2 linked regions of the Sus scrofa genome follow. The protein of the gene in region 1 binds, or shares a complex with, the protein of each later gene. Links are inferred from orthologs where the notes say so. Each region holds a gene or a part of one and is shown on either strand. Other genes may lie near its edges. The genes, in order: CAST and CAPNS1.

Evidence for each region.
Region 2: the proteins of CAST (region 1) and CAPNS1 are in contact, whole or in part, in a crystal structure (PDB 3BOW), measured with the Rattus norvegicus proteins. The link is inferred for Sus scrofa from reciprocal best matches to the Homo sapiens genes CAST and CAPNS1. Residues at the interface, in NP_445747.2 of Rattus norvegicus: Pro652, Ile653, Asp654, Ala655, Leu656, Ser657, Asp659, Leu660, Asp661; in NP_058814.1 of Rattus norvegicus: Phe103, Leu106, Gln109, Leu110, Ile125, Lys128, Val129, Arg132, His133, Leu136, Phe166, Trp170, Lys174, Gln177, Lys181.

What each region holds. Positions count from the first base shown.
Region 1 is NC_010444.4:103,255,327-103,259,675, forward strand, and holds the start of CAST (calpastatin), read left to right. Parts: upstream 1-1,326; coding exon 1,327-1,356; intron 1,357-4,349.
Region 2 is NC_010448.4:45,510,138-45,514,417, forward strand, and holds the start of CAPNS1 (calpain small subunit 1), read left to right. Parts: upstream 1-1,272; 5' UTR 1,273-1,321; intron 1,322-2,167; 5' UTR 2,168-2,185; coding exon 2,186-2,388; intron 2,389-3,295; coding exon 3,296-3,329; intron 3,330-3,632; coding exon 3,633-3,722; intron 3,723-3,876; coding exon 3,877-3,934; intron 3,935-4,031; coding exon 4,032-4,096; intron 4,097-4,280. UniProt on the Homo sapiens protein: Regulatory subunit of the calcium-regulated non-lysosomal thiol-protease which catalyzes limited proteolysis of substrates involved in cytoskeletal remodeling and signal transduction. Essential for embryonic development.

The sequences.
Region 1 (4,349 bases):
ACACACCCCTGCCAAGTTAAATCACACACACACGCACCAGTTTGTTTTTGTAATATGCTTTTTGATCCAGAAGGTCCAGGCTTGGGCCATACTTCAGTTGGTAAATTCTTCTCCTATAGCAGAAAAGGTGTCTAATTCTTGAGATTCTTAGGCAGGAGGTTGGAGGCATAGACAGGCCACGCCCGGTCCCGCTCTCACATTGCACAATCTTAAGCCAAGTCTGGGCAAGTCGAAGGAGGAACCCCGAGACCTCCAGCTCCTCCTTTCTTGGGGATCTCAGCCGACCTGGGGTGTTGGGGAGAGGGGGCAACACTGGGTAGAGGTACAGGCTGAGAGTGTTAAGCTGCGGGCGGGAGCCCTGGGCCGCTGCAGCCCAGGCTCAGCCAGTGGCTGGCAGGAAGGGGAGGGCCCAGCCAGGAGAGGGGGAGCCCCCACGCAGGGTTCGGGGCTGGGTCGGAAAAGCTGCCTCACGGGCGCGCCCGCTGGGCCCTCCGCTCCCTCCCTCCCTCCTAGCGTTCCCGCCCCGGGCCTCCCTCTCCCTTCCAGTCTCCGCTGTGCCCTCCCGGAGGCAGCGCTCTCCAAGGCCTTACCATGTCCCAGCCGGGCCAGAAGCCCGCAGCCTCCCCACGTCCCCGGCGAGCTGCTGCGGCCCGCCACACCCAGGAGGTGAGTGGCACTCCTGCCAGAGCCACAGGGCTGGGCGCTGGGAGGACCTCGGCCCCAGGCCCCCGGAGCCATGCGCTACTTCCTTTGGGGTAGCCTGCCAGGGCCAGATGCCCCATGGGCCCCCTCCTGGGCCGGAGAAGGATGCGAGACTCTGTACCAGCCTCTGGGCAGGTGGTTGGAGGTGGCCAGGGGTTGCCGGGCCTCGGCCAAGCGCATAGGGCGTGGCATAAACCAGATTGAAGGTGGCCCACTTGGGGAAAAGTTGGTTGCTGAGACTGGGGTAAAAAGCAGATGAGGATAAAAGGGGAATAAAGTTCATCTGGACCCCCAGAGAGTGGGGGTCTTTTTCGTAAAGTGATAAAAGTCAGGACTGCAGGGCGTGGCTGCCTGGAGAAATAACACTTCTTCCCTAACCGGCCTAGAGCCAAATCGGGGTGGGGCGGGGCGGGGCGGGGCCGGCTCAACCCAGTGGGGGTGGGGCCCTACCTCGGCCCCGCCCAGATGCCTTCCTCCCTGGCAGCAGTGGGGCTTACAGAACTCAGGACCAACCAGGTCCAGGGCTGGAGGAGTGTGAGCCAAACCCCTTCTGCGCTGCATCCCGTGTTCTCGCGTCCTCTCCGGGTTCTACTCTGCGCGACTCAGAGCAAATTGGTTGTCGCCATGGCATTCGCAAGCTGGTGGTACAAGACGGTAAATAGGAGTGATCGTGCCTGGGCAGGACCGGGAAGGGAATGTGCTTTCTGGGCGTGCAGGCCAGTTTATTGTCCAGGGTTTGGTGAGGAAGGGGTGGGGACCAGTTGTGACCTCCTCTCAGACCTTCAGGTTAGGCTCCTGGAGAGGGTGAGACGCACCCTGCTGTGGTATGTGCAAGCTAGCTCAGACGTGCAAGTCGTTGGTGTGAGCAAAAGCACCAGGCTGTGCTCACGCTCCCAAGTTGAATGGAACAGGAATTGTTGCTGGAGGAATTCAGCCCTTGGACACGGATTCCTGAATGAACTCCTACTGGACTCAAGAGAGCTCAGATTTAGTGTTTGTTTTTAAGGCATAAGTAAAGCTCAAAACTTTTAGAGGCTTGTTGGACGTACATTCTCCACTGCAAAGGAGGAGAGGCAGCTGGAATGAGGGCAAGTAGAAAATCCAAAACTCCAAGGAGCAGAAGAAACTGACATCAAGACCGATGTTTAGAATGAGAGAGCAGCCTCTGCTCTGTGTTTTATTACTTTGGATGAGGGACCTAGATGTTTCATTTGTTTAATGCATTGAATGCCTTTCCAGACAATTAGGTGTGATAGCCAGTCAAGCTGGTGCTTGTAAGGCTTTGAATCAGGAAGTGTGACTTAATGTTACAATGCCCCCCCCCCAAAAAATACACAAAAGTTTTGTAAACAGAATAAAAATAGTTATATCCCATTGATATATGGTGAAAAATTTAAAATGAGTCCTCTCAGCATGTGCTAGGATGTTGTTATCAGATACTCTTTAGAGAGAAATCTTGTGTTGGAATCTGTAAACTGTCCCTTTTCAGCCAATGGGTGTTCACTGAGTATCTAATGTATGCCAGACCCAGTACTAGTCTTGAAGTACACAGTGGAAAACCAGACAGAATTCTTGTTCTCACAGGGCAATGGGTCAACCTTTTTGAAACTGTTTCCACATCTATAAAATTGGGGTGGTAATAAGTACCACATAAGAGTTGGTGAAGAGTAGATTCATGAATCAAATTACCATGCTTATATGCCTTTAATGATTGGGAATTCCTGTTTCCCCTAAGATGTTTCTTCATGAATGCTTCCCATTACACTTTCTGGGTTTTTAAAATGTTTCATCTTATTGATGTTCTAAAAGCAAATGTTTGCTTTGCGTCATTATTGTCCTAAGGTTCTTATCAAAAATGCCCAACTTGAATTACCTGCAAATATGGATGGCAGTGGTTCAGGGCTGACATCAGTCTTCTTTCAAATTCATGATTCTTTAAAGGAAATTATGCTGGAATATCTGGATGAAGATTGTTTAAATCTATGCTTTTAACCTTGTTATGTTTAGGCATAGTTTGACATTTTAGCTAAAAACTTCTCTTGTAATATAATTCTGGAACTATTAGAATTTTTTTTTTTTTTTTTTTTTTTTTTTGCTAGTAGGAACCTCCTGAATCAGCAAACTGCCTATGATCAAGCTTTGACTTTGCCCAAACTAGTGCTGTCCAGTAGAAATATAGTGTGAGCCATATATGTAATTTTAAATTTTCTAGTAGTCACATAAACAAAAGCAAAAAGAAACAGGTGAAGTAAATGCTAATAACATTTTATTTAACCCTCTATTTCCCAACCATTGTTATTTCAACAATCAATGTGCAAATCATTGAGATATTATACATCTTCTTTGTCATATTAATTCTTAAAAATCCAGCATGTATTTTATACTTAGAGCTCATCTCAATTCATACTTGATGTATTTCAAGTGAGCAATAGGCATGAGTGGCTAATAGATCGGGTATTGACCAGTATAGTTTTAGACGTGGGTTTCTAACTGGTTTTGCTAGGTGGCTATGAAGGCATGATCAGAGAACATTTTTAGAATTAAATGAAATTTGTGAACCATTTTTCCACAACAAAGTACACACATACACACATAAAAGCCCATCCATAAATCCGCTGAAGATCTATGGAGACAATTTATAACACACACACATACATGATATTTATGTTTTTATATACTATTATATATAAGATTTATGCAATTTATTTACACAAAAATTTTATACAAAAATACAATATATAAAAGATGTATGTATTTATATATATATGTATAATATATATAATAGTTTTGGTAAATCCTATAATTAAAATATCTTTACTGGAACCCTTTAAATACTGACAAAGATTGTGATTGACATAGCTTTCAAAATTTAGGTAGAATAAGGAGTTCCCATTGTGGCTGAGTGGTACCGAATCTGACTAGTATCCATGAGAACACAGGTTCGATCCCTGGCCCCGCTGAGTGGGTTAAGGATCTGGCATTGCTGTGAGCTGCAGTGTAGGTTGCAAACGTGGCTCAGATCCACATTGCTGTGACTGTGGCTACAGCTTTGATTTGACCCTTAGTCTGGGAACTTCCATGTGCTATGGGCGTGTGGCCCTGAAAATTAAAAAAAAAAAAATTAGGCAGAATATGATAAAATAATTAAAAGATGTATCTATGATGTGTTTTGTTTAAGGGACTGCCACCTGTAAAGCCAGTCAGTAAAACATTACAATGTCTATTTCCCCCCACTGCATACCATCAATATATTGATCTTATCTTTTGATGAATTAAGTTGCTTTGGTAAAAATTTTAAAACAAAACTTTACAAAGCTAGATTTGAAGAGCATATGATGAGCTTCACAATGAAGAAGTATGAAGAAGAGTAAATCTGGTTGGCTGACATACAGTAATCACACTGCTGAGTCATAAGCTGACTTTATTAGGCCATGTTAATTAAAGGTGTTTCTTAGTCCAGCGGCAGCGTGATCAAGAAGCCCAGTCATTTGGGAGGCTCCATCATTGTGGCCAGCCCAGAAAGAGTGTCACAAGCCTTCCCTGACAGGACAGACCACTTGGCTGCCGTGACTTTTAGGAGTAAGGAATTGTAGATTCCGTGAGAGGGGTATACGCTTTAAGGTGGAAGGAGAATGGAGGTCAGACAT
Region 2 (4,280 bases), on another chromosome or scaffold:
ATGGCATATGAAAGTTTCCGGGCCTACGCCACGGCCACAGCAACCCCAGATCTGAGCCACATCCATGACCTATGCCACAGCTTGCAGCAACACCAGATCCTTAACCCACTGAGCAAGGCCAGGGATCTAACCCGCATCCTCATGGATGCTAGTTGAGTTCTTAACCCACTGAGCCACAAGAGGAACTCCAACAGCTACTGTTTACTAAACATTTACCACAAAATTCTCGTAGAGGCCTAGAAGTGGGGACATGGAAACCCTTGTTGGCATTTTACAGATTAGAAAATCATTGTTTAAATCACTGTTATGGGACCCCAAATTATTAAGAGGCAAAGTCAGGATTCAAACTCCAGCTGAACCAGCTTCCCAGGAAGAGGCTAAGGGCTGGACAGCCAGCCAGTGTGCCTGAAGGAGCCTTGAAAGAGTACTGGGCGCTCACAGGTTGAAGGTTGCAACTAGAGAGCAAGCAAAAGGGCTCCAAGGGTTGCTTCAGTTGCCATTTTTCCTTTCAGTTGCATTCCCCACCCTGCCCACCACCTGACCTTGGGAACATCAAGCTTCAGAAACCAGGCTGTGGCCCCCAGCCTCTTCCAGTGTCTGGACCCTCTTTAGAGACTGGAAGACTGAGACCAGGTAAAATGATTTTTTTTGGTCCATCCAAGTAAAATGATTCTGGTGACCCTGACCCAGGGGGTAAAGGGGTGCAGGTGGAGGAACAAAGAAGTCCCATTCCTGGGAGTAACTGGGCTGCCATCAGGGCTGTGCCTGCAGGGTCCCCCCACACAGATGAGGGCGCTTGTCCTCAGACTGTGAGCAAAACAAAATCCGGGGTCTCCAGACGCTGTCTGTCGCGACAAGGCTAGGATAGGGTACAAGTGCCAAGAGTCCCAAGAATCCCTATCCGAGCAGACCAAAAACATCTGGAGGCTTGGCTTTGGGACGACAATTCACACTACAACATTTAGGCTTGGCGACTGTTCGGGTCACCTCGGAGTCCTGGTCCCCGAGTGCCTGCATTGGGGACCGAAAGGCGTAGAGAAAGATTTCCAGTCTATGAACTCCGGGCGGCGTCAGAACTGCGGCTCAGGAAACGCACAGCGAATTCTCAGCAGCCGCACCCTGTTACACTGGGCGGGGCCAGCAGGCGCCTGCGCAGTTTTAATACCGGCTCTAGGACCGCGCGGAATCCGTCCGGGCCGCCCTGCATAGCCTAACCCTGCCCGGGCCGCCTGAGTCACCCGCCCCGCCCTGCGGAGCCGGACGCAGCCGGAGGCCCAGGAGCTGCACAGAGAAGCGGACCCGCGGACGCGTGAACGAGGCGGTGAGCGCCCAGTCCGGACTTCCCCCCTGGTCTCCCTAAGCCCGGCCCTGGCGGCCTCCAAAACCATAGAGATCCTACAATTTTGGTCTCAGGAGTCCCCTAGACCCATGTTCAAACCCCTAGATCTGTCTGGCCCCAGTTATCCCGCCCCGGAGACTCTTCCACCCTCCCTCTCAGGTTCTGAAGTAGGAGCATGGATTTGAGAGGTAGCCGGTAAATTCAGCTCTGGGTGCGGCCTCCAGAATCGCGATCCTAGATCCGATCTCAGTTCTAATGGGGACTCCGTTATCTCGGACCCCGGGGCTCACACCCACAGTCTTAGACCCGAACCCACAGACCCAGCAATGACACTGTTATCTCGCTGCTGTTTGTACCTAAACCCGCAAGCTTACATTCTGGCTTCCCTAAATCCTGGCCCTGGGGCCTCCAGGCAGAGAATTTCTGATCCACGCCCTGATCCGCCCCAGACCTCTACATCAGTTTTGGGGCTCTGAATCCCAGATTAGAGCGCCTGCTTGGGGCCCCCATCTCGAGAACCCCACTTGACTTGGCTGGTGTCTGGTGCTTAATGATGCCTATGCGTATACTCAGTCCAGGGTCCTTCGAGCCAGATATGGACTCTTTGGACCGGGAAGAGGTTTCAAACCAGATAATCCGACTTTATGCCACCCATCCGAGACACCCTCCCCCAGAAGCCCAGGCCCTATCCTGAATGAACCCTCGAGCCCCAGTCAGAGGCTTCTTATTACTTCCCCCAGTCCAGCAGCCAGAAATGCGTGTATTTGGGGGGGAAGGGGCGGGCTTAGGGACGGGACAGCAACTTGACTCCTTTTTTCTCCCCCTCAGGAATCTTGAGTCACAGCCATGTTCCTGGTTAACTCGTTCCTGAAGGGTGGCGGCGGCGGCGGCGGGGGAGGCGGGGGCTTGGGCGGGGGCCTAGGGAATGTGCTCGGAGGCCTGATCAGCGGGGCCGGAGGCGGCGGTGGCGGCGGCGGTGGCGGAGGAGGCGGCGGCGGTGGTGGCGGAACTGCCATGCGCATCCTGGGCGGGGTTATTAGCGCCATCAGGTAAGGCGGGGCCTGCAGAGGGGCGGGGCCTGGAGGAGGAGGCTGGTCCCGCAAGAATAGAATGGGGTAACTTAGACCCGGACCCGGAACATTAATTAGGCTGGGGCTGGTCTGGGCCAGCAGACCGGCCTTGAGGAGGCCGACTGTATTGAGTTCAGGGAGCGGGACTTGATATGGGAGTAGTTTTGACTGTGGTGGGAGACACAATTTGATGGGCCAGGTGGGGCTTAATGGCCAGGTGCAGCCTCCTTCCGCTAACCTGGAGACTAACGTTAAGGGGGCGGAGCTACTGAAGCCGGGTGTCACTTCACTGGGGCAAAGCTTACCTAGGGGCGCGGCATAGCCCTCGTAGGTGCGTTCAGGGGTGTGCCCAGAAGAAGGCCAGGCTTAATGGGATAGGGGAAAAGGACTTGAAGGGACAGGGCCTGGCCAGGAACTGGCTGGATTAAAATAGAAAAATGTCCTGAGGGAGGTAGGGCGGGTGGTCGGTAGGGGCCTAGTTAGTTTTGGCCCCTGAATGTGATCCCTTGAAGGAGTGAGAACTCACGGAGCTGGGGTGGGATCTTGGGAGGACGCAAGTGTTCAGAAGCCGTGGAGATGGAGTAGGTTCCTAGACAGGTGAGACCTGAGGAAGGTGGGCCCTGGGAAAGCTGGGGCCGGGCTTCTAGGAAGTATGCCCTCGAAGGGGCTTTGTCTTTTGAGAGATCCGCCACTGTGTAGGGGGCACAACCAGGGCAGCAAGGATAGGGACAGGTGAGGGCAAAGACTGATGAGGCAGGCGGAGGGAGCTGGTAGGTAGGCTGGCAGGCTACGCGGTGGGGCTTGGTGGGCTGGGTCGTGGGGCTGGAGCTGCCAGTTGGAGGCCCCGCCCCCTGGCTCTACACTAACTTCTCCCGTTTCCCTTCAGTGAGGCGGCTGCGCAGTACAACCCCGAGCCCCCGGTAAGCCGCCCTTCGCACTCAAGCCGCCCTTCGCAGTCGGAGACCCCTTCTCATTCGGAGGCCTTTTCCAGCACCCGTCCTTGTCCCTCTGAAAAAAGCCCCACACCTCTCCTTATGAAATTTATCTCATGAAGTCTCCCCCTTGTCATGTCCCCAAACTTAGTGGTATCCGCTCCCTAATCACTGGCCACCTCTCATTCTCTGGTCACTCAACCTCCCAGCCCACTCTGACTTTCCCATTTAGGGCTGTCCTGGCCAGGACACCCCTCTCCCTTCCTGCTCTGAGATCTCCTCCTTCTGCAGCCCCCTCGCACCCATTATTCCAACATTGAGGCCAATGAGAGTGAGGAGGTCCGGCAGTTTCGGAGGCTCTTTGCCCAGCTGGCTGGAGATGTAAGTAACCTGGGGTCCCCAGACCTGTCGGAATCCTCCGGTGCCTTCCCTTGGGCTGCCCTTTACGTGTACAATCCTCAAGTTCCCATCCTCCCTCATGACACGCACAGACCCCTTCCAGTCACCCCGACCCATTCCTAACTTTTCCCCTCAGGACATGGAGGTCAGTGCCACGGAACTCATGAACATTCTCAACAAGGTCGTGACCCGACGTGAGTGTCCGGCGTCAACACATGGGGCAGGCTTAGGGGCATGGTGGCTGGGGCAGCTGTGATCTCTGACCTCTGATTTTCAACCTGTTCCCCACAGACCCTGATCTGAAGACTGATGGTTTTGGCATTGACACATGTCGAAGCATGGTGGCTGTGATGGATGTATCCTTGAGGGCAGTCTTGGGGAGGCCTTGGTGAAGATGGGATTTCCTTCCTTCCTTTTTTTTTTTGCTGTTTAGGGCTGCATCTGTGGCATATGGAAGTTCCCAGGCTAGGGGTCGAATTGGAGTTACAGCTGCTGGCCTACGCCACGGCAACATGGGATCCAAGCCATATCTTCGACCTT